Neodiprion lecontei: one gene and its partners. The main gene of each other region encodes a partner of the protein of the gene in region 3 in a complex. Links are inferred from orthologs where the notes say so. Each region holds a gene or a part of one and is shown on either strand. Other genes may lie near its edges.

What was found.
Region 1: pleiotropic regulator 1 (region 3) and FHA domain-containing protein DDL share a complex: the UniProt entries of both Homo sapiens proteins name them as parts of the minor spliceosome. The link is inferred for Neodiprion lecontei from reciprocal best matches to the Homo sapiens genes PLRG1 and SNIP1.
Region 2: pleiotropic regulator 1 (region 3) and small nuclear ribonucleoprotein Sm D3 share a complex: the UniProt entries of both Homo sapiens proteins name them as parts of the minor spliceosome. The link is inferred for Neodiprion lecontei from reciprocal best matches to the Homo sapiens genes PLRG1 and SNRPD3.
Region 4: pleiotropic regulator 1 (region 3) and probable small nuclear ribonucleoprotein G share a complex: the UniProt entries of both Homo sapiens proteins name them as parts of the minor spliceosome. The link is inferred for Neodiprion lecontei from reciprocal best matches to the Homo sapiens genes PLRG1 and SNRPG.

Annotation. Positions count from the first base shown.
Region 1 is NC_060266.1:20,091,060-20,099,571, reverse strand, and holds FHA domain-containing protein DDL, read left to right. Parts: upstream 1-2,690; 5' UTR 2,691-2,775; intron 2,776-3,002; exon of another isoform or gene 3,003-3,166; intron 3,167-3,506; 5' UTR 3,507-3,519; coding exon 3,520-4,770; intron 4,771-5,168; coding exon 5,169-5,174; 3' UTR 5,175-5,564; downstream 5,565-8,512. Other genes in the region: proto-oncogene tyrosine-protein kinase ROS, read right to left, coding at 6,542-7,389, 7,638-7,691, 8,034-8,397. UniProt on the Homo sapiens protein: Required for pre-mRNA splicing as component of the spliceosome. As a component of the minor spliceosome, involved in the splicing of U12-type introns in pre-mRNAs. Down-regulates NF-kappa-B signaling by competing with RELA for CREBBP/EP300 binding.
Region 2 is NC_060261.1:15,627,963-15,635,265, forward strand, and holds small nuclear ribonucleoprotein Sm D3, read right to left. Parts: upstream 3,280-7,303; 5' UTR 2,899-3,279; coding exon 2,583-2,898; intron 2,335-2,582; coding exon 2,222-2,334; 3' UTR 2,220-2,221; exon of another isoform or gene 2,005-2,219; 3' UTR 1,954-2,004; downstream 1-1,953. Other genes in the region: TLC domain-containing protein 3A, read right to left, coding at 261-296; actin-related protein 2/3 complex subunit 3, read right to left, coding at 5,280-5,434, 5,556-5,751, 5,842-6,018, 6,393-6,398. UniProt on the Homo sapiens protein: Plays a role in pre-mRNA splicing as a core component of the spliceosomal U1, U2, U4 and U5 small nuclear ribonucleoproteins (snRNPs), the building blocks of the spliceosome.
Region 3 is NC_060264.1:30,350,962-30,359,886, reverse strand, and holds pleiotropic regulator 1, read right to left. Parts: upstream 5,428-8,925; 5' UTR 5,182-5,427; coding exon 5,179-5,181; intron 5,043-5,178; coding exon 4,936-5,042; intron 4,817-4,935; coding exon 4,695-4,816; intron 4,592-4,694; coding exon 4,305-4,591; intron 4,134-4,304; coding exon 3,984-4,133; intron 3,803-3,983; coding exon 3,608-3,802; intron 3,536-3,607; coding exon 3,417-3,535; intron 3,325-3,416; coding exon 3,145-3,324; intron 2,976-3,144; coding exon 2,735-2,975; 3' UTR 2,577-2,734; coding exon of another isoform or gene 2,517-2,576; 3' UTR 2,405-2,516; downstream 1-2,404. Other genes in the region: protein jagunal, read left to right, coding at 101-229; tubulin-folding cofactor B, read left to right, coding at 932-1,051, 1,203-1,346, 1,559-1,646, 1,809-2,000, 2,108-2,180, 2,261-2,378. UniProt on the Homo sapiens protein: Involved in pre-mRNA splicing as component of the spliceosome. Component of the PRP19-CDC5L complex that forms an integral part of the spliceosome and is required for activating pre-mRNA splicing.
Region 4 is NC_060262.1:2,038,753-2,045,565, forward strand, and holds probable small nuclear ribonucleoprotein G, read right to left. Parts: upstream 4,646-6,813; 5' UTR 4,445-4,645; coding exon 4,413-4,444; intron 4,263-4,412; coding exon 4,240-4,262; intron 4,034-4,239; coding exon 3,909-4,033; intron 3,807-3,908; coding exon 3,756-3,806; 3' UTR 3,684-3,755; downstream 1-3,683. Other genes in the region: zinc finger protein 60, read left to right, coding at 1-2,050, 2,225-2,490; transcription initiation factor TFIID subunit 8, read left to right, coding at 5,032-5,161, 5,253-5,539, 5,614-5,764, 5,868-6,014, 6,089-6,246. UniProt on the Homo sapiens protein: Plays a role in pre-mRNA splicing as a core component of the spliceosomal U1, U2, U4 and U5 small nuclear ribonucleoproteins (snRNPs), the building blocks of the spliceosome.

The DNA of each region.
Region 1 (8,512 bases), on a different chromosome or scaffold from region 3:
TTTGTCATCGGATAATTAATTTCCTACGATGCGGCGTCACGCATAATTTTTGAAGAACACTTTCTTTTGTTCCTCGTGTTTACGGTATTCTTGGAGTGTAGGGACAATTTTTTTGCCATTTACGACACATTGATTCAAGGTGGGCTGGATTAGTTAATATTTTTCACAATATTCAGTACACAATATATTACAACTTATACGATGCTTTTATAGATTGTGTATATTTTATCCCAAGGCGTAAAGATAGTGAAAGAAAATTTGGAATCGGTAATTGGGTCTTACTTGAGAAAAATTACGCATGTTCTTGAATGAATATAAAAATGAACAATGAAAATGAATCTATCACGAGGTTCGTTGCAAATTAACCGGAACGAAGAATAGAATACTTGTGGATTCATTTAAAATTTTAATAAACTGTTCAAATCAGCTTTCAGTAATACGACTTTTTAAAAACGTGACGAAAAACAGCTGATAAGAATTTATTTTACTTTCTGTATAATATTGACGTAATTATCACACCATATTTTTCTTCTCAATTGTTAAAATCCTAAATAACGATTATTGTCAATTCGTAGTTTTCCAAGGCGCTAGAAAATATGGGAAAAAATCTCCTTCTCACAGGGAAAATTTTGAAATGTTCAAAATTACATAAATGACATAATTGAAAAATCAACGGTTGCTTCTCTATAATAAGTTGAAGCGAGGATAGTTAGACGTTGCACTGTTGCACATTTATTTAATTTCAGTTGATAATATCGAAGAGGTTGTTCAAAAAAAGATACGTGATTTGTAGTCACCTAAAATAAAAAGAGTACCGAAAACGATAATCGAAGGTAGTATAGCAAGAAGATAACCCGAGAATTTCCTTGCGCGTATCTATAATTTAACATGCAGATCACTTTGTCACAAACCATAGTCATCCTTATCGTAAGAAAATTTTTTTTTCATTTAATATTTAGTGTCACAAGTGCGCGTCGTAGATTTTTATTATCGTCAAGTGAAAAACGTGTCGGCGCAAAAAGTAGAAACACGAAGCTTTAGAATTTGATACACGTGACAAAAAAAAAGTTGATGATCGATTGCAAAATCTTCGGAAAGTTTGGAGTCTCGTGTGCAAAATAATTCAATAATTGATGAAATTTAAAACTTTGAAAAATATCGAAAAACTTGACTACCAGGAGTTTAGATGTGCATATATGTATATGATTTTAGTAATGGGTGAAGCAAGGTGGAAAACTATAGCCCAAAATTTGCAAAGAAATTAAAATTATTTAATTCACTTAACAGCAACATTCGTCAAATCCCAGAATCAACTTTGTTCGAATAACAATTTCATACTCAACGGTGATCGATATCAATTTAAACTAGTTTTGCCATTTCATACGAATTCTTTAGTCATGAATTTATTCATTTTTATATTTATTTATTCATAAATTTATAAATTTTGCAGGATAAAAGTCGTTTTTACGTAGATCAGTACAAATTGGCGTTGATAGGTAATTAGCCAGTGCTTACTTGAATTTAGAATTGAAGTATCAACTCTGAATTGTTTTTTATCACTTATTGTACTCCAAGAAATTGATGTCGGAATTATTTTTAATTTTCAGAATTATTTTTTACTTTTTTATTCGAAAAATTTTATTGGTAATCTGTTTAAATTCCCTTGATTCGAAACATTGAATAAAGTAGCAGTTGTTTATTTTGAAAATTAGAAAAACTTAACTGAGAATTAATTCTTCCCCTTCGACGAGCAAATTCGTATCATTATACAATTACGTTCAATATTTAAATTAAAAAACTCAAATCAGGAATTTTTCGGAAAATTTTTATTCTATCACCGCAATTAAAAATTAACGCTGTTAATCGTAATTTTTAGTTTGAAACTGAAGAATAGCCCGACACTGTTACTTTGTATTACGTAATTGTGTAAAAAATGTGCAGGCAGCGGGTTGCAAGACGATGCGTTCGCCGGGTGCCAAATACCTTATTTGAAACCATCCGTATACAATTGATAACGATTTGATTACAAATAATCCGGAAAATCCATCTCGGGACACTCGGCCGAAATTCCGAGAGGGGACGCTGTAACGAATAGCGAATAAGATATTCCAGGCTTTTTGTTTCTTTTGTCTTTCGGTTCCGAGCAATTATTGCTGGTAGCGTTGAAGCGTCCAGGTTTCGAATTGAGAGTTGCGCGCTTGAGGTTTGTAAAACATGTTCATCCTTTGGTTAACTTCTTCGGCTATTTCTCCTATCGTTTGCATCAACGAAAGATTTCCAACTCTGTTAACAGTAAACCAAGTGTATGTTTATTGTGCATCTATTTAGATAACACAATTTTTGTCGATCCGATGGAGTTACATTAGCATTGCTGAATTTGGTTCGGAGTGATCTTGCATAGTTGAAACGTATACGGCGTCGTCACGGGGTTGTATGAAAATTTCAGTCTGTTCCGGTTCGTCTTTTCCATAGGCATAATAATATTCATTCGACTCTGAAAAATCTGGATATACGCGGTAAACGATGGTAACGTCAGTTCTCGTCGTCTTTACGTACCGACCATTTGTCGGATTGGGTTGCGTGTGCAAGAAAGGCCGCAGAGAGCGCCACGTGACGATCAATTTATCACGTACACATTTCATTACGAAAAGTCTCATAAGGCTTTCAGTCTTTACGTGTCCCTCAGTCAACGTCTGTTGACGAACAGAGTTGCATCGGTTCGTGCTGTACAACTTGGGGAAGAAGTCACCAGAAGTCAAGGATACTTTGAACAAGGTAAGTTGTAAACATATTAGGAATAATTATTACCGTGCCTCAATTTTTCTTTCTGGTGCAAGTGAATCGTACACCAAAGACAAACTTTCTCGCGAGCAACAGTTTATTGTCATTTTTCCTTTTATTATTTGTACCGTAATTTGAATTATTCTACTCCAATCGTCCGGTCTAGGGACTATTCTTGGCCGGCCGGTGGCATCCCTGCTATTTACGAGACAATCCGACAAATGGCGGAAACGACGGATCTTGGTCGGTGTTTGACAATTTGAAACGTCGTACTTTTTGCTCGGATTTTTAGCGTCGCGAATGAATCGAAATATCAGAAATTCAGTAGCGATCTTAACATTAATCGCAGATGCCTACATTTAGTGAAACCCACTAGCCATATTTTGTAAGTATTTTACTTTTGATAATCCACTGGGTTATAAAATTTTTCGGATGCTTTCGCCTTCAGTCAACTCGTGTACATAACCTCAAACAACAAATGTTGGTGTGTGTTGAGTGGGAAAATTATTAGTGGCAATCAAGGAGACTTGATTGAATTGACGTCACTTATTGCATCCTCCCTACACGCAATTTGGCGTATTTCCAGAGCTGCGAGATTATTTTTAACATTCCGAATAATCTTAACGCCAGAATAAAATTCAATACGGCAACCCAGCGCATACTATCGGATGCCTTAACCTCTAAAATTATTTGTTCGATTCCATGTCTATGGTTTAATTCAACAGGAAAATCTGGATAATGGGGCGAACGAAAAGGGAACGCAAGGCTAGCAGTTCAGAGAACGAGTCTGATAGTTCCAAGGACGAAGGTTCGTCGAATTCAAGTGATGCCAAAGAACAAGCACCGCCTTCGCCGAAGCAGCGCAAGAGGCAGATGGAGAAAGAAGAACGTGTAAGGCCAAAGGAAATGCGCCAGGACAGAAACGTAGAAAGATCAAGATGGGAAAGCCCGGACGGAAGGAAGCGGAAGCACAGTCCTCAGTCTCAGAACCAACGGTACCCGGCGTCACGCGACGACAGAAGAAAGGGTCACAGAGAGCGCCAGGACGGCGGAGAGGCCAGAACCAAGTGGGAGAAAAAGGAGAGAGATAGAGATATAGACAGAGATTTGGAAAAGCGAAGGAAGGAGGATAACCGCAGCCAAAATGAATCTGACAACCAGCGGAGGCGGGAACGAGATGCTCCGGAAAGGTCGAACAGAAACTACAACGGTGAAAATCGACCCGTCGATAGGTTTGACGGCAGAAGGCAGAACGAAAGGAAGTCCCCTCGGCGAGACGAGAGGAACAGGGGGTTTGAAGAGCGAGAACGAGGTAGACATAACAGCGGTAGAGGTGGCAGGCGAGGGGGTAGAGGAAACAGATTCGGGGATGGCGATGGGCCGAGAAGCAGTTTCGACGGCTCCAGAGTAAAGGGTGAGCCGTCGCCGGAATGGGGAAAAGCGGATATGAAAAAGGAGAACAATGGGAAGCCAATTGAGAAGGAGAAGCCAAATTTCGAGCCTTCTGGAAAGTTGACGGAAGACGCAAATACTGTGAACGGTGTGGTGATAAAATACACAGAACCAATGGAGGCGCGAAAGCCGAAGCGCCGTTGGAGACTCTATCCCTTCAAGGGTGAGAAGGCGTTGCCCACCCTCTACGTCCATAGGCAGTCTGCTTACCTGATGGGCAGGGATCGCAAGGTTGCGGATATTCCTCTGGACCATCCGTCTTGCTCCAAACAGCATGCCGCTCTGCAGTTTAGGCTTGTCTCATTCCAGAGGGAAGATGGTGGCGAAGGAAAGAGGGTCAGACCGTATTTGATAGACCTAGAATCTGCCAACGGCACTCATGTTAATGACATCAAACTCGAGCCTAAAAGGTATCACGAGCTCTTGGAGAGGGATGTTCTGCGCTTTGGATTCAGCTCTCGGGAATACGTTCTTCTGCACGAACAGAGTAAGGATGATGCTCTGGATGATGACGTCCCATTTACATCTGCTGTTCCGGTGAGAAATTATTAATGACTTTTGTTCTTTCGTCTTTCTACTTGATGTCAAGTTTCCGTACAGTTGTAATTTACCTTTCATACTTTGACAGCGATAAAACGATATAATCTCAAAATTTTACGAAACAAGACATAAAACCAGGCAACTAATGAATAATAAATCTTGGATTTAAATTTCTCTTTGCTCCAAAACTGTCAAAGATTTGTCATCAGAAGGATACTTTTAACCGAGCAGTTTTTCTGTTATATTGCAATAATCCACAGCGCACTGTATATTTTGTTGTTGGCTCTACATATTTACCATAGAATTCAGTAAAATTCCCCAAAGAAATTTGCGGGCTCAAATTAGTTGATGAGAATGTAGTTTCCTTAATTTTATTTCATCATTTTTGTTTGCAGAAATGAGCTTAACGGGCTTACTGAGCATACGCGGTGCTCGAAGAGGTGGAATGTCAATGTAGAACGATGATATTGCAATTTTATGGAACGCAGGTGTATCGCTAGATTGCATCGGTAGTTTGTTGGCAACGAGCGCTGGAAGAGTGTTTTGAAGTTTTAGAAAGATTAAATGTAAATCAATAGATCTTGATGAAATATTTTATAGATATTTTAAGATCAAGGAATCGAGAAATTTGGATTGTTATTTCTTCAGAATTGTTTACTTTATTGTCAATCCTGATTCACAAACTTTGTAATGTTCTATCCGGTAAGACATGGCGTACAAAATTGAATCTGTACACTACCAATGTGAAAAATAAAACAATCGCATAAATTAAAAATATAAAATGTCATGAATCTGTGTTACCTCTTCATTTCACTGTCGGTTATTTTATTTATTTACATCGTTACTTCCTACGTTACGCATTAGGACGTAGACGGATAGTGGCCAAGTATCAGATACGTTGGGGTAATTTTGGTCACCATTTTCGGCCCACGAATCTTTGGATATTTATTACTTAAACAATATACGAGCAATTTTTCACTGACGCAAAGTAATATTTACAAAAGTAATTACATCATTCAATTATAATCGTTTATATTCCATGTAATGATTCCTTCTTTCATTTTTTATACAATATAATAAAATTAGTATCAAATGATCAAGGAACAATACAAATGTTACGTATGCAAAATGACATTTGAAATGGAAATGAAGAAAAATAACTACAATAAGACATGAAATGATTATTTTAAGCGAACTCGTTTTCAAGTTTATTCAAGTTGACTGGAAGATGCTTAATACTTGAGCATGTGTGTGAAAATGTGGTGTAAGTTGATGGATGAAAATCTAATGATGACATACTAGAAAAACATTTAAAAATATAATTATTTACAATTTGATTCACGCTAGCTTATATTTATTCATTTATCTTAATTATTATCGTTTAAAAGGCACTTTAAAAGTTAAATATATGAGCAGCACGTTGAAATAATTTAATTACAGCAATATCGGTACACGCCTTTAATATACGTTTTTAAAGCTTGATAAAATATCTCAACCTTCAACTTTGCGTATAATAATATTGTTGTCTATGATAAATTTAAACTTAACAATTTCGTATACATCGTCGCAATCGTTTGCCTTTGATTTCAACAACACGTACGTACGTCAATTCATAGTTCGGCATTTTAAAACAGGTTCCAATGTTTCTTACCGATTACTTATCATAATAGTAACGAAATTATGTACTACACAAATGATCAATCATGGCAGTCAAGGCTCTAAATATCTACACTATAATATCCAGTTTCTCAAATATCACCTTTCATCATTACCCATTTACTCTGACCGCGTCAGAGTTTATATTTGTATAGGTAGCGATCTCATTTCCATCTTCACCTGTATCTGGTGTTTGCCTGAGAGAATTCAGTAAGGCACTATTTATTGCTAAAGGTATATTCGCTTTCCCGTTTTGCAGAATCGAATGTGTCCTGCTTAATTTCGAAATTGTATTTCTTCCACCATTCGTATCGCTCGATAGAATGTTTTGCTTAGTTGCCCCATTCTTCTTCAATGGCAAAGTATTCTGAGAATTTAATAACGACGAGCTTGGCCTAGAAGGAGTCAAGCTTGTCGACGAGCCGTGGGAGCTGCTGCTTCTACCGCTCAAACTAGTCAGCGATCCTCTGATTTCTGTTGAGATTTTTTCGCTCTTGCGACTGTCGTCAATGGAACTCGGAGAGTTCGTCGCGGCTATACATTTGGAAACATGATTAGCCAACCTTGAGCTATCCAAAATGCAGAATTTTTCTCCTGTGCTGGAAATGGAGGCTCTTTTTGGTTCCGTCAAGTCAAAGTTATTCGCCGATTCTCTTTTTTGATTTACAACATCTTCCAATTGTTCACGATCCAAGTTTGAGCTTTCATTTTGCGAATCTGATAGTTCTGGTATTTTGCTTTCCTTTTGAACTTCATTTTTATCCAGGCACTGTACGGGTCTCGGTACTTCATAGCCACCAGTCGGAGTATCTCTAACATCAGGTACGTCGTTATCTGCTATTAATTCTAAATATTTCGGAATTTCTCCGGACGCTAAAAGTGCCGTCGTGTTGCAAGAATCGGGTAAAAATGGCTGCATGTCTCTACTGCCTTCGGAGCTTGTAGATTTCCAGGAGTTGCCTAAACAAATTTTAAACGACTGTCAACAATCTTGTATTAGCTCACAACGCCGGCGACCACTTCGGAGCTTGCAAAGTATATTCCAATTTCTTTGATGGTTAGTCGCTGTATTCCTTACGCGTTGGGGAGTGTTAAGGTTTGTTAACTTTGATGGATATTCTGTCGTAATGACAATAACGTAAATTTATGTGAAGACGCTCATAGCCGGTTAAATAAATGGGCTAAATGACATTAAACATGAAACCTACCTGAGTGGTTATGATTTTGATTCTCATCAGCAAAGTAAGCCATGTTAGACACGCCTGCAAGCACAAGCCATGCGATGGTCATTTCAAAATTTTTTCAAGCAATGTTAATCAAGAATAAACGGGAAATTTTCTCAAGTCAATAGAACAGTTTAATCCCCTTTTAAAATTGACATGAAACAGACGTTCCAATTTGGCGGAATTTTCAATTATAACCGAACGAAAAACTTTTGCTTCTTCGTCACAGAGTAAGATAATCGTGTTTCTTGAATTGAATCGAAGCGAAACGGCTTTCAGTAGCATCGTATAGATATTTTCACAATGAATGTAACATATTCATGCAAGATAGAGATCAATGCGAATGAGGTTGAGGCACGATTGAATGGAGTTGGAACAAACCTTGTTTAGATAAGTAATGGCCAGCATGTGCAGGGCTGATCGCGGCATCTTCTGTTCTGCTTCTGAGCGTTATTATATGATCCAAACAAGCCTTAAAACTGGGTCTAGCATCCGCCGTGCTCCAGCAGCGCAGCATCAACTGATGTAACGGCGTTGGACAATTTAGCGGCTTTGGCAGTCTTCCGCCAGCTCTAACGTGGTATAGCACTTCCAGATTTGTTCTTGCCGGGTATGGCTGCTGGCCCAGGGAAGTGATTTCCCACATCAAAACACCGAACGCCCACACGTCACTTTGAGAGGTAAATACCCCATCCACTAGAGACTCCGGTGCCATCCATCGTACCGGCAGTAGGCCTTCGCCCTCCTACGAAATAAGCATAACTTGTTAAATATTCGTGAATTCGGACTTTGTTTTTTAATAGAATCGGTCAATGAAAAGTATTGCTTTTAACAATAACGTCAAACCTTTCGCTCAGTGA
Region 2 (7,303 bases), on a different chromosome or scaffold from region 3:
TTAGTGCTGAGTTAATCGAACCGAATAAATCAATAATATTTTTCGTGAAGGGTAATAAGTAGTCTCAATGCCCGGCTGACAACCGGTAAGAAATTATTTCACATCATATTCCGTGAATTGCGGTTCGTTCCGTATTTGAATAACATGGAACGATCAGAATAATCCTGACTCAGACTTGAGTAGCGAATTTTGATACGATATTCTTGCGCAGATCAAAGAGCAGTGATAAAATGAAGTGAAATATATTCGACAACGCTTACCTCTTTGTTTTTGCCGGAATTATTTATGTGCACCATTTTACCACGTCGTACGTTTTTTTTTTTCTTATTCTTCACCGCTCGACTGCCGTCGATCCCGTTTAGGGTTTTCAACCAGATAAATCGCTATTCTCACAATCTCTGTCGCTCTCTCTCTCTCTCTCTCTCTGGACAATTTTCACCTATTCATTTGACATTTTCTTACATATCTAAGCGTATGAAATCTATCGCGTCTTCTACTGACAACATTTCGTTCGATAAATAGCTAACAGCTCGCTAGTTTCGCTAGCACTCTGATGTTTCATGAGCTGCGAAATCCACTCTACTGTCCCACAAATCCAAAGTGGAAGGGGAAGTCGTTCAGCTCGAAAGAGGGTTTCAGCGCTCTCTGTGCAACTTTGTTAGAACTTGGAACTTTGATTTGCCGATTTTACCAACCACCCTAGGACGGAAAATTTTACCGTTCTGCAAGTCGGTTTGAATCGCAAGTTATGAAAAGAGTAAACAACAGTTACGAAATCCCTGGCAATGTTATTTGCGCCAATGATAGTGAATACCAACGAAACAATATATTTACTGGGCCATTGGAACGGATCTCACTGTTAGAAAATGTCAAAAGACGTTGATTAAGCTTAACTTTATCAAACTGGAACCGCCAAAAAAATAGGCCGATTATTTGTTGCATTTGTATAATCCATATAAATTTCAAATGAAAACATATAATAGCAATGTAACAAATGATCTGCGATAGTCATACTTGACAAATACCTAGACTTTTCAGGATATTTTTCGCAACAGAATACGTGAGCTTTTTTCTAAAATCAATTTGTTTTATGTAACGTTCACATGAGTCGGTGATTTTCAAGAAACTTAAATCCCCAGGTACAACCTGGCACTTAATTCGAATAAGTACAATTTTGAGAGCATCTACTTGCATCTTATTCCTGTATATAATAAGATTTTTTAAATCGGCAGCGCTGCCAGATTTCTGCAAGACACTACGATTCACAAGTTGAAACAGAAAGATACATAGGTACATGTACACAACCTTGCACTCAATTTTAGCCTCTAATTATCGTTTGATTCCAGTGTATCAGTTTTTCGAAATCTATCGTCCTTCGCGGATTTTTTGTTTTGGAGGTTCCCGCTTGAATTAAAAATATCATGAGCATTCAATTTCTTAATGAAGTGTCTAATTAGTACGTAATTAGGAACTTTAGATTCATACAACTTATAATAAACATTCGAAAATTCTTACACTATAATAGTTATAATGCACAAATGTAATTGTTGAATATCTGCTGCACTTTTCTGACAAAAATCTATTTATATGCACTCTAGATGTAAATTGTTTTTGAAACTACTTTAGACGAATTTTTTCTATCTCTGTAGGGAATGAAATATCAATTCACAATAATCAAACCTTTCTTGATATCATAGCTTGTGTTATTCAGACCTCTCAGATGCATTTTTATAACGTAGTAGATATTCTCTTTTGTGTTGACAATCGTTGTCGCAAATAACATAGTTAAAGATTCTTTCAACAATCTTTCCTCTTATCTTAGTATTTCATTCAGGTCTTAAGATAATTAATGTAGAAGAAAATTCATAATAATGCTCGCATTTGCCCATGTACCTCTGGTTGAGACTTACAATTAGACGGGATGTTACAATGGAATATGAATGAAAACCACAATACAGCAAGACAGTTGTATTCTCCACCAGGTCTGTTTTCTTGTTCAAAGTCCTAAGGGAGTAAACACAATGACATTAAATTTTTGAATACTTATTAATTTACATTGTTATTATCATTAGTGATCACTGCCTACACATATTGTCACAGGCATGTACGGTTTCAATTTACGTTTACATGGAATTATTTTTTACATCCCTTATAAAAGTATGAACTAAATAAACTTTAGTGCACTAGATATAATGATAAACAAAAATGATCCTTATAACATTTATCCTCTTCCTCTTCCAGGTTGTGAACCTCCTGGTTGGTTTTGCTGATTCAACCAAGGGGCCGAACCCGTGCCTCTGCCTCTCTGGTTTTGACCTCGTCCCCTGCCCCGTGCTAAAAATAGATATATTCGGTGATAATTTGCGTTGGAAAAAGAATATTGATGCATAAAAGTGCAAAACTTGTTAGAAAAATGAGTCTCTGAAACATTGCCAGTCAAACAGAAATATGAATTCGAATCGGATTGCATTCCACATTGCTGAAATAAAATGTTCAGTAGGCCAAAACATGTTTACGGACTTCGATTTTGATGAAAAACTGAAAGATTCTAGATCTATTTGTATTGGTGTGAAAAAACAAACCCTGTGCCCGTAGTATTGCAGACTTTCCTCTGCCCGCAGTGCCGGCGCCTTTGCCACCGGGTCTTTTGAACATCGGGGCATTTTTCAACATATCCGGTAATATAAGGAACCTTATTTTTGAGCCCCTAATGTAAACGTTCTCTAGCTGGCCTACGCGTCCATCGCGATAAGTGACGGTCAGGTTTTGCATTTGACAGTTCATGTTGTCTTCGGCTTCTATTAACTTTCCGCGGTAAACCTCGCCGGTGTTAGTTTCACAGGTTATAGTGTGACCTTCGGCTTCGTGAAGTACTTTAATTGGCACCCCGATCGACATTTTGACACTTATGTTCCGATAATCGACACTAAAATCTCACTAGCTCACGAAAAAACTGGCGATTGAAACGGATTTATACCCGTGTGAAGTCTGTGTCGTTGCATCAACGTTTGTCGACGGACGCCAGCCACTTTCGTTTCGTTTACGAAAATGGCCGGAGAGTTACTTAGTTCGAATTTTGGCCACTTGGCTTATCGTCGGCATCATGGGTCGGCATCACGGCTTACTTTAGAGCATATAATATACTATACATGCTCCAATACCCGTATTCAGCCCCCTGACACTCACCACTGCTCGTATACTAAAAAATTGTACGCGTTTTGTCCCCGTTTTTTAATTTCTCTACGTGGATACACTTCAGATGCGTATTTTACTAATTTACGGAGTGTGTTTATAAAACGGAGGCTTATAGGTTATGATTGCCGCCCTTTTTTTTTACATTTTATAGCGGAAATTTCACTTTTTTCCGTAAGAGGCGCTCAAATCGCATTTAGACAATTCCACTTACGGTACCTTAAAACTGGGGACAAGTTTTATCGCAGAGTGTTGTCTCCTTCCTACTACTCCGTGAAGGAATCCTTGTTCCTCAAGGAAGGAATATGAATACGGGTGTAAGAGTAATCCCACTCAAGTGGCATCGGAACCGTTGTATATGGAGGATTACAAAGAAATGAAATGTTTCGTTGATCAAACGGACCTCGTTTCTTTCGCTGGTAGATAGCGCTGCAGTCGCACAAGGTCAACACTTTCGGACTTTAGAGCATATAGGATTAGGCATGAATATATATGAGTAGGTTTTATGTGTACGTAGCTGCATTTTTTCGAAAACCCTATGATAGCTTGATCTCTGGCAAAGAATTCGTTCTTGTCCATCTCTGTCTAACCCTCCGTGTCACCAAAGTTCCCAAAAGTTGTTAGTCCAATCAATTGCAATCAACTTTGCCACCATCTTGTGCCAAGTCTTGAGCAAGTTCATCAGCATCCGATTGGCCAAGCTCAGCCATTTTGTGGCGAAAACAGCACCAAGAGCGGTTTGGACACACATCTATTTTGGCCGTGTTCGAAAATTGACTGACAGTACTGTCAGCAATCTTTTATCTCTTTTGCGCTACCAAGTTCGTGGATAGCTCTGACTCTGTCCTAGGGAATTTTCAGTACTGTCAGTCAATTTACGAACACAGCCTTTTTACATACATCCCCGTTGACATCAGTCGATGTCAGCGATTTCAGCGGCTATAAACTAGCTTTAAAATCAGGGCTTCTTCTACCGCGTAGATATTTAGGTATTTAAATACCAATTTCAGACTTGTATACCCTGTATACAAAGACCTCGCTTAAGGCTCAGTCTCACAGAGCACGGTGCGGCAACACAGATCCAGCAACCAATAAGATTGCAGGTTTTTGGAAGCGCGAATTCCGCTGCGCCAAGAACGAATGCATGCCGCGTCGCGGCTTGTGAGACTGAGCCCTTAGGCGTTAGTGATTTAAATTAATTCTTGGAGCACGTCGCACGTTAACTGAAGATGATGTATTGCGTACACTTATGCTCTAATCGTGAAATGCATGTTAGCCGAAAATAATTTCGGAGAAATTTCGGGAAATGAAGCTATGGCTGAATTTTTTAAATCCGATTTTTATATCCGCAATATAAAATAAAGTTTTTATTGAAAATTATATTACGTGGGATGAATATGCGTAGGTATATTTATACGTTTCACAAATTGTTTTACCTTTGCCGTTGGTTCATCACATGCGTGCGTACCATTTGTTTGCCTGATTTGTAATTATCTACATACCTATAACATTTTTCCAACAAAATCCTATCTAATTTACAACAAGGGACATTTACACTTTAAAATCCACTAGAATTCTCGGCTAGATATTTTTTTTATCTGTAATAAATTAAACAATACAATTGAAGTGTGTTTTGCCCGATTTGTGATTACCTACATACAATATTTTTCCAACGAAATCCTATCTAATTTTTAACAGGGAACATTTAGCAATTTAAAATTGACCACAACTATCAGCCGGATATTTTTTTCTTTCCTTATTTAATTAAACATATTGTGTTTGCAGGATTTGTAATTACCTACACACAATATTTTTCCAATGAAATCCTATCTAATTCGTAACAGGGAACATTTAGTAGTTTAAAATTGATTACAACTATCAGCCGGATATTTTTTTTTCTTAATAAATTAAACATATTGAACTCAACATTGCAGGAAAATTCTAAAAATTGTTGATTGATGTTAATAGAAGTGTGAAAAACAATTAATAATTAACATGTAGCTCACTCTTCAGAAAAAGACAAGAGCCATAAAATGAACCTATCTTACAGCGATTGGATTGAATTGTAAGAGAAGATAATTTACAATTTATTGGCCAGGTCCGGATAATGACTTGTCCATAAACTTCTTCTTGGCGAAACACAGCCACCATTTGCTGGGCTTTCCATCTTCTCCATAAACCTTTTCTACGACTCTAATGCCAGTTTCCTGGCGCAACTGTTGTAAATATTGCCTCATTAAATCTGAAAAAAACCATTACAACATTTAGAATATAATTCATATTTGTGTTACACTTGAAGTAATGGTAGCAATTTGTGAAAAAATTAGGAAAATGTGTTTGATTTTGTTATTCAATGGTCTTACCAGCATCAGACGCAGTATTTGGCTTAGCATAAACAGAGTTTAATGGGAAACCGGCTTCTCCTGGAATATCAAATTTGGAAATAGCCAAGGTGTACATCTCATTGGTTGCCTGATTTTTGTTTGCACATTTCTGTAATTTCTTCAAGCATTCAGTGATGTACAAAGTGATGTAAATTAAGACTCGGTCAGCTTCGCTCTGTAGAATATTTAAGGGCGAAGAAGTGGTAGTAATATAAGTGTACAGTACATACATTACTTAATGTAACTATACAAATTAAAAAATTACCTTAATTTCGTAGGTTCGAAAGAAAACATTTGCTTTAAAGAAATACAAAGCTTCGTCTATTATATCTAATTCTTTGTTACTGAATGACGGTGCTGGTCCTCGAAACTGGGTTTTGAACGGTAGCAATGCCATGTTGCCAACCGTTTGGTTATTTTCTAAAAAACTTGAATGATATGCCTGAAATTTTATGCAAAATTGGTATGATAATGTGAAAGTGAGAAAGTCTATCAATAGTAGAAAAGCAAAACACGTCAGAATTTATTGACACGGTAATAGCATGTTGACAGTTAAATTAGGTTAGGTAAAATTATAGTCCGTGATTTACTTCAAGAGTAAATCTGAAGTGATCTTTGACTATCAACATCTCGTTAGTAGGTCGATTGGATCAAGGTCAACGACACTGTTAAATTGTGACCCCGTGTTATGATTCATGATATCAAAGGGATACACCCATTTGACAGCTCCTGAATGCGGAAAACCAAATCGACAATTTCAAGACAGAAATAAGTCTTGTATTACTAATTTGAGTAAATTGAAAAGGATAGACTCACAGGCATGTTTGACAGATACTTTTTCGTAGATTGATTATCTTCTTAAACATGAAATTAAACGCCGCAAGGGTGGAGAAATTATTACAGGCAAACTATAATCTGGTGGGGTCTGGCCAGATATCGCTATATCATGTATGTCAGTAGTGGAGTTATACTGTCGCAATACGTATAAAACCGTAAAAGTCACACATGCGCAGAATGCCTCTACCAATCTTGCTGAAAGTCACGTGACTATCACACATGTGCATTAGGGTGTTCGTTGAAAGAAATATGCTTAGCTGCCCGCAGCACTCCGCTGGTGGCCGCGAGTCGAATCTTTGGAAAAAGCTGAAACTCCAATTCAAATTTGATTGCAATGACCAGAAAATAATTGACGTTCTACAATTATCAACGCATCTCGTAAAAAACGAATACGGCATTGTAGTTTACGTGATTTCAATGCTAAGTTTACAAATAATATTGTTTTCCACATGTGTTGGAGCACGTCAATTATTTATTTTACATTTGAATCAAATTCGAATCAGAGTTCGTTGACTGAAGATATACCTATATCACGTATACATATATATATATATATATATCTGAAGTGACAAGAATCTGTACAAAATGGATACCGTTCAATTGGCGTGACGGCACCACGCGTGTATATATATATCAGTGGTGCGAACTGGCGGCAGCGTCGAAAAACAAAAAATGCACCGTAAGCGTATTTCCCCCACCACGCAACTTTTGATGAGTTTCAAGACCTGTATGTAAGACCGTGCTTATGGCAACGCTAATGAAGTGGTGTACTAAAATTGCAAATGCGTAAGAAAATATACTCAAACATTGACGTATCAAAAGACACAGAGGACGATAGATAATCTACGATAAGCATATATTTGTTGCAATTTTAATATTCATGATAATAA
Region 3 (8,925 bases):
ATAGGTTTGAGAACTAAAAAAGATTAAAAAATATTAACTAATTTTACCAAATATCACTTGTTAGCTTAACTCGTTTATTTATTAATTTAATTTGTTACAGGGAATGCCATATGGGTTACTATGGTATGCATTTCTGCTTCTTGCCTCTCAAGTACATTTCTTTTCGTTATACTTCTCCTGGAATCTCCAGTCAGCTTGGAAAGCTCGTGGATCGAAAAAAACTGAGTAAAGATATGTTCAAGGAGTTCCAGTAAGAACGAGAAAAAGGGAGAGTGAAAGATTCGGCAAAGGGAAGAGCGGCGATGAGAAAAAGAAGACAATTATATCAGAATTATACATATGCATGTACATAATTACAAAGAGTTTTCTTTTTTCCGACTATACAGATTCCAACTGAATGTTCATACATAAATACATAAATTGGAAATATTCATTTACGGATATTAAATTATTTTATTTAAGGTCCTGCTGCGGAAATACAATGTATTTCGTACTTTCTCACTTATGTCTTGTGTTTTCATAACTGATGTACTTGCTTCGTGAGAATACAGGAAACAGTACAAAATTACGGGAAAACACAAATATGTTTCCAAAATTAGTTCAATCTTTTGGGTCATCAAGTACGGAAGATTGTGGGTTTGGTCGCCTCATTGCAGCCTACTCAACATACGGCTAATAGTGAATGTTGCAGTAGTGCAGGCGTTTCCCTCATTTATTCAGCCGACGCCTAACTGTCAAATGTAGAGGCTATGTTACATTGTCACGATTGGTACAGTTGTGGTACAGTTTGATGATATTCTTTGGTTTCATCTACTGCGTATATTAGTTTTACTGTCTAGATTGACTGGTGAATATCGAAAATTCGAGGATTTTTCCAAACCGTACAGTTGAACAAATCTATTTCTTATCAAGCGAATAGGGGTTGTTCAAAATGACAGAATACAGCGTGGTAACCTCAGACTTCGTTAACCTAAACATCACCAATTCGGGGCAACAAACTTGCTGTGTCGAAAGGAGATTTCAAAAGGGAATCACTCTCGATGATTTTAAGGTTTGTAACCGGTAGACCGATGTTGAAATTTTCTTAAAATAGTTGAGCAAAGTTAGGCAAATAACAGTAAAAGAGTAATCATAATCCAATGTCTCTTTTTTAACTCATATTTAGCTGCCAGAATGTTATTGACAACTGACTCTTGTTTCAGGGTAAACTCGAACTCCTTACAGGAGGTAATTCAGCCACCATGAAATTAGAGGTGTACGATAAAAATGACAAACTGATCTGCAAACCTGATCAGGGTGACCGCTTGTTGGGATCTTATCCGATCGATGATGGAATGAGAGTTCATGTAAGATAAAAACTTCATGTAGAATTCTTTTTTCTGTCATGTAAAACAGTCGGCTTGTTTTTTCTTTATCAAATTCTCTACCGAATATTTCATTGGCTGATAAAAATCTGAGATAAAGTAAAAGAGAAAAAACTTGTCCATCTGCTTCTATTTATTGATTTATTATTTCTTTATATCGAATCGTTGTCAAAATATTTTCTCGCTCTGAACAGGTGATAGATAACTGCATTCGACCTGACGATGAAACTGCACAGGTGGATAAATTCGAACTGTCTGAATCGGAGTATGCCAAACGATCCGGTAATTCATACATCTGATGCATGTATAAAAACTCAGGCTTCCAACAGTAAAAACTGGCCAAATGCTACTTTTCCACTAATCATTACTTGGGCATTAAAGAATAATTTTTGAATTTCATGCTTCAATAAATAATCATAATGACAGCAGAAATTTTTTTTTCAGACACAGTGAAAGCATTCCTAGAGAGAAACAAGTTGGGTAAATATAATGAGGAAGAAACTAAGAGAAGGGAAGAAGAGAAACGTCGAGAAGAGGAGGCAGATGAAGCCGCTGCCAGAGCTTGCAAGGTCGGCGATCGTTGCGAAACTCAAGTACCAAATCAACCGAGACGTAGAGGAACGGTCATGTATGTTGGTAAGTAATGATGAGCAACGATTGCCCAATTGCACAATATTTTGCCTCCATTGTATCTTTTATGTTCATTTGCACTGGGTTGATAATTTTTGAATAATTCTTTGCAGGTAAAACCGAATTCAAGTCTGGTTGGTGGATTGGTGTCAAATATGATGAGCCATTGGGAAAAAATGATGGATCGTAAGTCACTTTGGTAGTTGGTCATTTTAATGTTGTTTTCTAAATAGTTAATATTCATTCAAGATTATTTGTATTTCTAGCGTCCAAGGAAAAAGGTATTTCGATTGCCTGCCGAATTACGGTGGTTTTTTGAAGCCTGCACATATCAAGGTGGGAGACTATCCGGAGGAAGATTTCAACTTGGACGAGGAACTTTAAAACATTATAACTAATCGTAATCAGCATTTGTGGAAATGGAAGCTTTATTTACAATCAATTCGTAAATCGTCTCACAATACAACTTATCATTAAATTGTTATTGTATAAACACAACCTTGTTTAATGTTTATACATTCACTAATATTTTCTTCGCTTAATGATGTCAGGCCTCCAATTAATCGGATGACTTTCTTCGGACTGTAAAAAATCATTCGCACATTTAATTAATCACGGAAGTGATTATTAACGATTACAATAAATAATCAATGGTGAAACGAAACAGAAATTCCAGACATAGATTACTGTGATACCATTTGGTCGTTGCATTAAATTATGTTTAAGTTTACGATTTGTTGTTACAACAGAAAATAAAAGTAATATGAATAGGAAACAATCATGGTAAATAAGTTCATGCGACACTTAATATAAATTACTAAACGCACCGCTGTGTCGTCTTCCTTGTAGACTTTTATCGTCTTGTCGGCTTCGGTAGTTATCATACGTGTCCCCGACATGTCGAATGTAATACTAAAAACGCCTGCTTCGCTATCCATTGAACCAGGTTGAACTGGGGCTTGAAGTCTCTGGAAGTTGTAGCTATAAAAATAAATCATTTGCTACAATTATTTCAGTCCATTGATTAACCATAAAAATTATATTACTAACTAAAACGAGGTGCCGGATACAGAATAATTATTAGGATTATTTGAAAAAAAAAAAAAATTCAAAGTTTCAACAGATGAATATCTAAGATTTGAAATCTCACCCGGTCCTCCAATCCCATAACTGCATGGAACCATTGTCAGCACCAGATACAAGTACACCATCCGCGTTAACGGCCAGGCAATTGACAATTGCATTATGACCAGACAAGTTTTGGATGAATTTTCCTTCTGGGCATTTCCATTGTTTGATATTATCGGGTGAGGCTGACGCGAACATGTATCTAGAATATCCGAAAAGATCAAATAAATGCGGGAAACTGGGCAACATAAATCGAGATTGAGATGCAAGATTAGATAAAATTAAGATACGCACAACGCCGGATGAAACACAACAGATCGAACGCTCTTTTTATGATTTGTTAAAGTTGCTCTAGATTTTCCGGCAGCTAAGTCCCACAGTCTGATTGTACAGTCGTGGCTACCAGTTATGACCTTAAAAATTCAAATACATTTAGATGCAAGCCCCATTTATAAAATCGGTTACTGTGGACATCATTCGTTCACCTGAGGTTCTGCTGCCTGACATATCACACTAGCTACTGTATTTGTATGCCCAGCCAGCGTGTGAACGTTCGCTTTCGTTCGCATATCCCAAACGCGAGCGGTCGAATCTCTGCCTGCTGTGACTAGTACATCAATATTTGGATGCAGAGCCATGGAATAAACTGCTGACAAGTGACCATGGTAGTGTCTTATAACCTAGGAAATGCAGTTTAATATTCTTATCTTATTGGTCACATAGTATTTTTAGCTTCGATGTCATTTTCATATTTTGGGTACTTTTAGACTTGTCTATCTTTTTTCTTTTACTTTTCTGTATTGACACTTTTAGGTATTATTGATAATTCCAAGTTCTTACAGCGCTGTACTATATATTTACCTTGTTGTATTCTAGATCCCAGCATTTGACTTGACGATCTTCGCCACATGAGAATAGATACGGGTGTCTATGAGACACGGCAAGACCACGTACGCTACTGATATGTCCGGTTAAAGATACTTTCAACTTTCCGCTAGCAAGATCCCAAATCTGTAAAAATGTTGCATTTTTCATTAATGCTGTACTAGTCGATGTTTTAATGACATTGAAAATGTAGTTAAAAATCTTGTGAGAAATTTTTAACAAAAATGATGTAAATGCTCAGGACGAAATTAAATAAAATCTTATAAATTAACAACTAAGGAATAGATGCCCTTGTACCTTGATAACTCTGTCAGCTGATCCTGTAGCGAACCAGTCGTTGCCAGGTTCGATAGCACAGCACCGTACCCAACCAAGATGGCCACTTATTACTCTATACAATTTCCAAGGAGCATGCCAGCGTGGTTTTGCTATTGCTGGGGTCTTTTTTGGTGGGAGATTCATGACAGTTGACGAAGTGCTGTTGGTATTAGTGGGCATTGATGAGCTCAAACTGACTGAGTGGCCCATTCCACCACCGTAAGGTACCATCGCAGATGAATTGTTACCTCCATTGAAGGTATCATCTGGGCAAGATAAAAGCGACATCGTATGAATGATGAATTCGCCAGATAGTTTCGATTTATTTTGTTCAGTTAAATTAAACAAAGACCGTGACGACTAACTTACCACCAGGTGGGGGAGGGTCCGAATTGTGATCATGATTAGATTTTAGGTGATTGTTTCTTCTAACTCGATCTAAGACTGGCGAGTAAGAGTCTTTAGATTTGATGGCTTTTTTCAGCAATTCCCTGTTAACAAAAAGAGACGTTTATTATTAAGACGGTTTTTGCACATCAGAATGTGTTGCATTATGTATATGTGTTTAATGAGTTCACAATTGGGGCTACATTATGAGTATGGTACTTACGTTGAAGGATCAACCGGAGGAAGGGTTCCTTGATTTGACAAAAACATATCATGTGTTCTCTTAAGAGAACGAAACACCAGGGTATGTACCGAGTGTCGTTGCACGTCCTGCCAAACATGAGAAAAGAATGGTGAATTAAGACTGAAGTGACAGTAATAATGACGTGGTACATGCTACATAAAACGATGCGATGAGATTTTGGTCCACAAGGTAGTTGACGACTTATTGTAGATCAATAATTACCATAGCTATTGAAACAGTCACTGGCGACAAAAGCAGTCGGTCACGATAATCGCTATACAAGTGTCGGTTGTATTAGTTTAACACAAACAATATTTTTTGATACATTTGCTGATGATCATGTGAATAACGTTGAGAAATTAAGAAACAAAATTGAAAAATGTATCTGACGAAAGCCAATCAAAACAGACAGAAAATATAACCAAAAAACGAACACCGCTTGTTTTCTGAACAACCATGGGACCTAATAGTTCAAGATTACGGCTTAAACCTACGCTAGAGTGCTGCGACAGGCGGTTAAGACAGCGACCATTTTCGCAGGCTTTTCGCTGTAGGAGGCGCTATCGACAACACTCTGCTTGTGCGCTACACTACTAGTATCAAGCATATGGTAGGTATCAAGTCACAAATCGCTCTTCAAATCCTATTGGATTTTTCCACTGAAATATGCCCAATTCAAGAATATACTTGAATAAATTCTTCGGTGCACTACGGACACATAATTTCAGAGGAGGAACCGACGGCGCGCAGTCCCAACACGCTGCGAGCAACGGATCAGAAGTTACAGGCAGAAAACCAGAACCTGAGTTTTTCACATTTTTCAGCTGGTGATCTTTTCGTCGTCATTCGTCTGCTGTTGGTCCTACGCTGTTTTCGCTGCGTTTTCTAAGTTTCTGGGAGTCCAATTAGTCAAGAAAAGGTCATGCAAATCGAATCTGAGACCAAAAATTTTTCGGCCCAAAAATAAGTAAGGCTAACCCCTTTGTATTTTTGGTGAAAATTTTCGCGATTTTGAAAAGTGCTGGAATAAACTCTTTCGTGCACTTTTCTGACGTAGTTTTGCGAGAGAAATCGATTGGGCGCAGTCCCAATACGCTGCGAGCAACGGATCAGAAGTTACAGGCAGAAAACCAGAACCTGAGTTTTTCACATTTTTCAGCTGGTGATCTTTTCGTCGTCATCTCTCTCCCGTTGATCCTACGCTGTTTTCGCTGCGTTTTCTAAGTTTCTGGGAGTCCAATTAGTCAAGAAAAGGTCATGCAAATCGAATCTGAGACCAAAAATTTTTCGGCCCAAAAATAAGTAAGCCTAACCCCTTTGTATTTTTGGTGAAAATTTTCGCGATTTTGAAAAGTGCTGGAATAAATTCTTTCGTGCACTTTTCTGACGTAGTTTTGCGAGAGAAATCGATTGGGCGCAGTCCCAATACGCTGCGAGAAACGGATCAAAAGTTACAGGCAGAAAACCAGAACCTGAGTTTTTCACATTTTTCGACTGATGCTTTTTCCATCGTCATTCGTCTCCCGTTGATCCCACGCTCTTTTAGCTGCGTTTTCTGAGTTCCTGGGAGTCTAATCAGTCGAGAATAGGTCATGCAAATCGAATCAAAGACCAAAAATTTTTCGGCCCAAAAATAAGTAAGGCTAACCCCTTTGTATTTTTGGTGAAAAATTTCGCGATTTCGAAAAGAGCTGGAATAAATTCTTCCGTGCATATTTTCGACGTAATTTTGCGGGAGAAATCGATTGGGCGCAGTCCCAATACGCTGCGAGCAACGGATTAAAAGTTACAGGCAGAAAACCAGAACCTGAGTTTTTCACATTTTTCAACTGCTGCTTTTTCCATCGTCATTCGTCTGCTGTTGGTCCTACGCTGTTTTCGCTGCGTTTTCTAAGTTCCTGGGAGTCTAATTAATCAAAAAAAGATCATGCAAATCGAATCTGAGACCAAAAATTTTTCGGCCCAAAAATAAGTAAGGCTAACCTCTTTGTATTTTTGGTGAAAATTTTCGCGATTTTGAAAAGTGCTGGAATAAATTCTTTCGTGCACTTTTCTGACGTAGTTTTGCGAGAGAAATCGATTGGGTGCAGTCCCAATACGCTGCGAGCAACGGATCAGAAGTTACAGGCAGAAAACCAGAACCTGAGTTTTTCACATTTTTCAGCTGGTGATCTTTTCGTCGTCATCTCTCTCCCGTTGATCCTACGCTGTTTTCGCTGCGTTTTCTGAGTTCCTGGGAGTCTAATTAATCAAAAAAAGATCATGCAAATCGAATCTGAGACCAAAAATTTTTCGGCCCAAAAATAAGTAAGGCTAACCCCTTTGTATTTTTGGTGAAAATTTTCGCGATTTTGAAAAGTGCTGGAATAAATTCTTTCGTGCACTTTTCTGACGTAGTTTTGCGAGAGAAATCGATTGGGCGCAGTCCCAATACGCTGCGAGAAACGGATCAAAAGTTACAGGCAGAAAACCAGAACCTGAGTTTTTCACATTTTTCGACTGATGCTTTTTCCATCGTCATTCGTCTCCCGTTGATCCCACGCTCTTTTAGCTGCGTTTTCTGAGTTCCTGGGAGTCTAATCAGTCGAGAATAGGTCATGCAAATCGAATCAAAGACCAAAAATTTTTCGGCCCAAAAATAAGTAAGGCTAACCCCTTTGTATTTTTGGTGAAAAATTTCGCGATTTCGAAAAGAGCTGGAATAAATTCTTCCGTGCATATTTTCGACGTAATTTTGCGGGAGAAATCGATTGGGCGCAGTCCCAATACGCTGCGAGCAACGGATTAAAAGTTACAGGCAGAAAACCAGAACCTGAGTTTTTCACATTTTTCAACTGCTGCTTTTTCCATCGTCATTCGTCTGCTGTTGGTCCTACGCTGTTTTCGCTGCGTTTTCTAAGTTCCTGGGAGTCTAATTAATCAAAAAAAGATCATGCAAATCGAATCTGAGACCAAAAATTTTTCGGCCCAAAAATAAGTAAGGCTAACCTCTTTGTATTTTTGGTGAAAATTTTCGCGATTTTGAAAAGTGCTGGAATAAATTCTTTCGTGCACTTTTCTGACGTAGTTTTGCGAGAGAAATCGATTGGGTGCAGTCCCAATACGCTGCGAGCAACGGATCAGAAGTTACAGGCAGAAAACCAGAACCTGAGTTTTTCACATTTTTCAGCTGGTGATCTTTTCGTCGTCATCTCTCTCCCGTTGATCCTACGCTGTTTTCGCTGCGTTTTCTGAGTTCCTGGGAGTCTAATTAATCAAAAAAAGATCATGCAAATCGAATCTGAGACCAAAAATTTTTCGGCCCAAAAATAAGTAAGGCTAACCCCTTTGTATTTTTGGTGAAAATTTTCGCGATTTTGAAAAGTGCTGGAATAAATTCTTTCGTGCACTTTTCTGACGTAGTTTTGCGAGAGAAATCGATTGGGCGCAGTCCCAATACGCTGCGAGAAACGGATCAAAAGTTACAGGCAGAAAACCAGAACCTGAGTTTTTCACATTTTTCGACTGATGCTTTTTCCATCGTCATTCGTCTCCCGTTGATCCCACGCTCTTTTAGCTGCGTTTTCTGAGTTCCTGGGAGTCTAATCAGTCGAGAATAGGTCATGCAAATCGAATCAAAGACCAAAAATTTTTCGGCCCAAAAATAAGTAAGGCTAACCCCTTTGTATTTTTGGTGAAAAATTTCGCGATTTTGAAAAGTGCTGGAATAAATTCTTGGCTGCACTATATCGACGTAATTGTCTTTGACGGAGTATGAAAAATGACGGAATCGATTCATTCGAGACCTCTATAATATCGAGGTCATTTTACAAAGGAAAAGGATTGCGTATATATGTCTACATTAGGTGTGATTAACGCATCGAATCTTACAGCCGAAAACTGATAAAAAATTTTGCACCTCTTCGCCTGTGCTGTTGCACTGTTTTCCTCCGTCGATAAAAAGTCTTTTCATCGTTACGACTACGTTAC
Region 4 (6,813 bases), on a different chromosome or scaffold from region 3:
GTGCTACAGTACGTTGACCAGGGTGGAGTTCTACCAATGCTAGCTGTGGGGATAGAGGAGAACGAGATCAATGCCCCGGTTGAAAAGCATTGCAAAAATCCGCTGTGCGATGCATTGAGCATAGATCATGACCGATGTCGACGAGCGTTGATTAAACTCTACCGTTGCGATTTGATGAGTGCTTGCGACATTTGCGGCGTTGTATTCAAGACACGGAGGTCTAGGATGAGTCACAAAAGCTGCATCAGGAAGGAGGTCTATAGGCACAATCAAACAGACGGTGCTCAGATACTTAGGGAAAAAATGAGGGAGCGAGAACTGCAGATGATCGAGGCAGCCAAGACCAAGAAAAAAGAACACTTGGACCCGGCCACTGAGTACAAAAAGACTATGGAGTCCCTGAGGAATAACAAGGAGCTGATCATCATCCCAAAAACCATTCCCCAGCATCAGCCAATTGTCACAATAAAAACACTGTCCCCGGGCAACCAGCCGAGCGTTGTACAAAGTACTAACTCCCGAGAAGTCTTTGGAAAACTTTTGCCCTCTATTCCGATTGTTTTCCCACCACAGAATACAATCGTCGGCAAAAGACCGGGTTCTGAGACCAACGAAGGACCCGCCGTGAAGCAACCCAAGATAACAAATGTGTTTTGCACTCCACCTCAACACGCAAGGCTTGGTCAACAGTACATTAAAGTTTCCTCGGTCACGCAATCCAACATCGTTCAGCCGATGTCTCTCAATGATTGGTTCGCTTCTCAGGCAAATATCGTAACCTCGAGCCAAAATACAGCTCTCAAACCTTACCTGACCCCCATCAGAGTCGTCCCTATCACCAGCCTGAAGTCAGCCCCTTCGCTTCGGCATCAAACTCACGGTATTCCTGCGTTTTGCTTGGTACCGGACAATCTTCCCAAACCTGTACCTGTCTCAAAACTGCAGGCCATTCAGCCAGCTCCGATAGCTCCTAGCCCGCCAAGGTCTGTTGCACAAAATAATGAAACAGAGAATGTAGAGCAGCAGAATTCACAGACAGCAAAAAGTGCGACGAACACAAGAAGGAAATCTCAAGCTCGTAGGAAATCTGAGGAGAAAAATTCAAAGGTTTTCAAATGTCCTTATTGTTTCAAGGGTTTCAGCACAGATTGGTATTTCAAAATGCACGTAGCTGGGCACACGGGAGAAATGTTATTCACTTGCAAAACGTGTGAAAAACCATTTAGCAATAGATACGATATGAAAAAACATATGCTCAATGAGCACAATGATGGCGAATGCAGATGCGAGATTTGTGGACAGATATCTATATGCAAATCGGCACTTGAGATTCACATTCGGTCCCACACCGGTGAAAGACCCTTCCACTGTACAGAGTGTGATCTGTCTTACAGATCGAGCACTGACCTTAAAACGCATCAACGAAAGCGACACAACTCTACGGACTGCCCATACTGCCATATTCATCTTGTAAAGGCAGATCTTCAGGCACACTTGGTGTCGTGTCATCAGATGACGGAAAAAGAAGCATTGCATGAAATTCTGCAAGGACAGGAACAGGCAGTGAATGGAAATGAATCGTCCGAAATTGAGGTGTCAGATTGTGAGTCAATGGCAAATGGAATCCTGATGAGAATTAAAGAGGAGCTCATAGAGGAGGCAGCAGCTGTGAATGAAACTACGAAGTTTCAGAGTAGTCGTAATGGTTCAGATTCAAACAAGAGGAAAAAACAGATTGCAAATAAACCTGCCCATACGAAGTCTAAAGGAAACGGTGTGCACAATGCAGAGGGAAACCAGAATGTATGCAATTTGAAGGAAACTGAAACTAAGCCTATCGTTGTCAGGAGGAGCACTAGGAGATCGAACTCTAATTTTCAATGTACCATTTGCAAAGAAAATTTCGATAGCTCCACACTGCTTGATGATCATGTAGCTAATGAACCCAAAGAAACTGTGGAATGCCTCGCATGCAAGAGCTTGTTTCACAGCCAGACTGATTATGATAAACATGGCAATAGCTGTGGCAAAAGTTCCTGCAAACAGTCGTGTAAGTATCATAACGAGTGAATTGTGTAGAATACAGAGTTTAAATGTATAGAAGAAAATTTAAAAAGAAAATTTAAAAAAAAACTCAAAAAATCGTACCTTTGTTTGATTATAGAAAAAAGCAGTTGAGTGAATTTGAACAGCAATGATCTAACGATAATTTGCCCTCCTGCAGCTTGCCTGAAAAATTCAACAACTGGACCGCTGAGACCATTCCAGTGTGAGATCTGCCTGAAAGTATTTAAAAATGATGGAAAACTCCGTATTCACATGAATCTGAGTCCGCAAAATTTCATAACGTGCGTTAGATGCGGCAAGAAATTTCACACTAATCGCGAGTACAGATTGCACATGCACAATAATTGTGTTGAATTAATTAAGTGCCGTAAGTGTAACCGACAATTTTCAAACAAAAGAACACTTGATAACCACATTTGCTGAATTCAGAAGGATGAGGGGTACACTGGATTCTTATGAAAAAAAATCATTATTGATTTGTATGTTTTCTGTAGTTCTCTCGTTATATTTCGTTGCTAATAAGTAGGCCATTATACACTAAGTTATTACTTTAGCTAATATAATTTTCTGCATTGCATTGAAACTTTTCTTTGTACTCCCCTTTCTTTTTTTTTTTGACTGCTTACCGCACATTACGAAAGTAATAAGGTGTGTGTAGAATGATTCTATATTATCTTAAACAAGGATATCCTCAAACGAATTCATATAATTGCAAATGTAAAATTTTAAGATAAGAGGAAAAAAAATTAAGGTATTTACCGAGTATTCTGCACACTATTGTCAAATTTTAATTAAAAACTATGTGAGGGTAAGATTTTATGGTATTTCTGACAAAGGAAGCTATATTTGCTTCTTTATTTTATATACAATGTATAAAGTATGCACGCATTTATTTTTATGATTATACCTATTATTATTCTTGTAAGTCAGACCTTTGTTCCTGCTTCGAAGACTGATGAGCACTTACGACAGCAAAAATCCTCAGCTCATCGCAGATAGTATTATTAAAATTTTAGTTCCAAAACGGTTTCATTAAATCGGAATTATTCAGTCTAATAAAAACATCAGTAAAAAGATTGATTTTATGAACATAGCAAATGTATTTTGACATTTTTAAAATAGAATTTGTATAATTTTTTTTTTATTCACTTCACCTGAATAACTCATTATAAGAATAATTGATTTAATCCAGTATGTCTCTGTACTGTGCAGTACGAATCTCAAATTGGCAAACTAACCCCTTGTACGATATTTTCGTATTTTTATAAAATCCAGTTATACATGTAACAGCGAAATGCCTACCATAATTAATTATATGCCATTGCACCATTTTTTTCCAGATTATATTTTGTGCACAATATATTTAATAATCAGCTTAGCTGTATTGAATGTTCACTTTCTCGTTGTTCCGAGCTAAGAAATGTGAGAAAATTGTGCTGCTTGGAATCCTGTTTTTTTTGTTTTATTTTATACTTGTATTTGAACATAAACGTTTGAATTCTTTTAGTCTTCATGATTTTTCTCCAAAATTATTGTCACTCCTAACTTATCATTCAATCATTTACAACTATGTGTACACTGTAAAATAAGTGAAAAATTAAATGTTAAATACGGCGTTACAAATACAAAATGTTTTTATTCTTTCTTTTTCTCTTAAATACATTCTTCCATCCGATTCTTTTTAATAATTATATTCTATCCAACGCCTCTAGCATTATGACACTGTTTCCTCGAATGACCTGAAATAACAAAAATGATATTGTCGTCAATACTTCGTGCGGATATAAAAAATGATTTGCATCTTTCCTCAAGCAATTGCTTTAGATTTTTTAAATTCTTACCACCATTCCAATGTTATTCTTCGTTCCGTCTTTGCATTCTTCGACTGTTTCGTCAATGACCATGTTCATGAACGGATCAAATCCTCGCAGGATGCCAATCACGTGTCTCCCGCCATTCAGTTTTACTGCCAATTGAAAGTATCGTTAATAAAATACATCAAATACCATTCCTCTCAATTTTCTAGAAGAGGGTTTCGTGCGCAACATGATATTTGGCAATATCAAATATTTATAACCTTCCAAAGCTAGGTTCAATGAACGTTGAAAAAATAAATGAATATCCCAAACCAAGTCAATATTATTTGATACTAATTTAATCCTCTGAACTTACGGGATAACTTTTTGTCCATGTATCTGAAAAATATAATGAAAAATTAGTATATATGGGCAATAAATGTACCGGTAGGTGAAGTCTAACCTTAAATTTAGCAACGTAACCTAAAAATTCTTGGCAAAGAACTGCGGTTATTCGGCGTCGGTTTGACACGCAAGTTTATCACTTACTTTTTCAATTCTGGGGGATGTGCTTTGCTCATTTTTAATAGATGTGTTGAATTTTAATTGAAAAATCGGGGCAGTTTGATGCTCACACTGTCCAACGATGAGATTACGAACAACGTAAAGCGACGTGAGACGCTTTTACAAATTTGAACATCTAAGGTGTGTTACTGCGCAGCCATCTCCACGAACAAGTCGTATTAAGAACCAACCGTATGAAGGCCATCTTGGATTTTCAATTGATCCCATTCAATACCATCTATATAGCGTACAATTTAACAAGTAGGAATCTCCACTGTACTTATAAGATACGTCATATAATTTCAAGAAGGCTTCTATGGTCGGCGCAGAACGGGACGAAATAGCGTCCACCGGTGGAACACGCTTTATTTTCTTACACTATAGGATGCTTCCATCGTAAGGTCCACGAAGCATGTAATACCATTTGTGGTAAGGTCAGAGTCAGGTTAGGTTAAAATTACAGCCAAACGAGAAACGAGATTTGAGAGGAAGAAAGTAATTTCTCCTGAAACCTCGTTTCTCATTGGCTCATAATTTGAACCTAACCCGACTCCAACCCTTCGATGGAAACAAGACCAAACAGTAATAGCCAGTTGTATTAAAAATGGAGACCCAAACAGTAAACACGAGAAGAAAAGTGTTAAATCATGTAGTTTGCAGTATTTTGGTCGAAAATGGTTTCGAAACGTGTGAAAGACAGGCGCTGGAAACCCTCACCGAAATGTTGCAGGCTTGTAAGTGAATTTAAGACTTCTTGAACGCTGTTAAACGAGTTTACCCTATAAACTAAAAAAGAATGCTTACCCGTAATTATGAACATTGTAGTTATCGTCGAGGTCGGAGATTCGGCGAAAAATTACTGCGAGCTGTCTGGGCGGACCGAGCCTCTGATAGCCGATGTTATTCTGGCCCTAATTAACATGGGAATCAAATTAGAAGGGATGGAGACGTATGGTAAACGTCTAAACAGGACTGTTCTGCCCCAACTTCAACAACAGATACAGGCCAAACAGCTCAATATTTTACAAGCTGGAGTAAAGCAAAATCATCCGTCGCACATACCTAATCATCTGCCACCATTTCCTGATCCTCACGCCTACATCAGGACGCCGGTGAGTCATAACTTCCATCAACTACTCATCATTTTGGTAGCACATTAGTGTAACTATCGACAAATGGTGTTCAGACACATAAACAACCTGTGACGGAATATGAAGCTATCAGGGAAAAGGCTGCATCGCAAAAACGGGACATTGAACGAGCCTTGACAAGATTTATTGCCAAAACAGGGGACACGCATAGTCTGTTCTTGACCGAAGACAACACCATGTTTCCCTGTAAGTGGTAGAATTAATTGAGTTTGGAAATTTTCAAAAGTAATATCTTATATTCTAAAATTATTGTTTTATTTATTAATGGATTTTCTCAACTTCTCTCAAGTGATAGCATGCAAGCCACAATTTCCCAGCTATTTGTCAGCACTTCTACCACAGGATCAAGTTTTTGAGCCTGATCAAGAGTTCCAGTTTGAACCGAGTCCGGTTCAAAAAAAGAAGAAGGCACCGCCTGTAGAAGACAAAGAAGAAGGTTTGTTCATAATCTATAGAGACAATGAGTCAGAAAAATGGTGAATCTTGTACTGATGATGTTTCAATTTTCAGCCCAAGCACAAGCAGATGGGACAGAGCAAAGTGGAGAGGCATTAGCCCAACAAGATGTGATAGACAATCCTTATTTGAGGCCAGGCAAACTGCCAAAGAATAAAATAACTGGTACGAATCCGACTGGTCCTGGAAAGAGAGAAGCGACAGACGTATGACTAAAGATTTAGGTATTATTTTGATATTTGGTTTTTAAGCACGGAACTTACTAACTGACAATTACTTTATTATTACTGATGCACAGAGGAAGATATTGTATATTTATATATAGTAAATTAAGTTATCATAAAATTAATAAATATATTTTAAAAAAAATAACAATCCGACTTTAGTTACTCAAGTTGTTATTATTGTTATCATAAATTGTGTAAATTTGCTGTGAGTCATTTTTTAATATAAAGGTCTACTGATTTATGTTGAGTACAATATTAATATATCTGTAGATATCCATAAAATTGCACAGCTCACTAGCACCGATATACATACAATAAGAAGGCAGCGTTTAAGGATTGATAAACATCACAACTATTTAAAGGGACCCTAGGTATTGCACGAGACATTATAAAAATAGATTATACAATATCGCATAGACGTACATATAACGATTACCGATTACATATGCACCCTACATTGCGAAGCTATTCATAGCTTAATTGGAAGCCTAACTAATTGCTTTTATTATAGATAATAATGACATGAGACCTTCATTGATTCTGTGAAAAAAT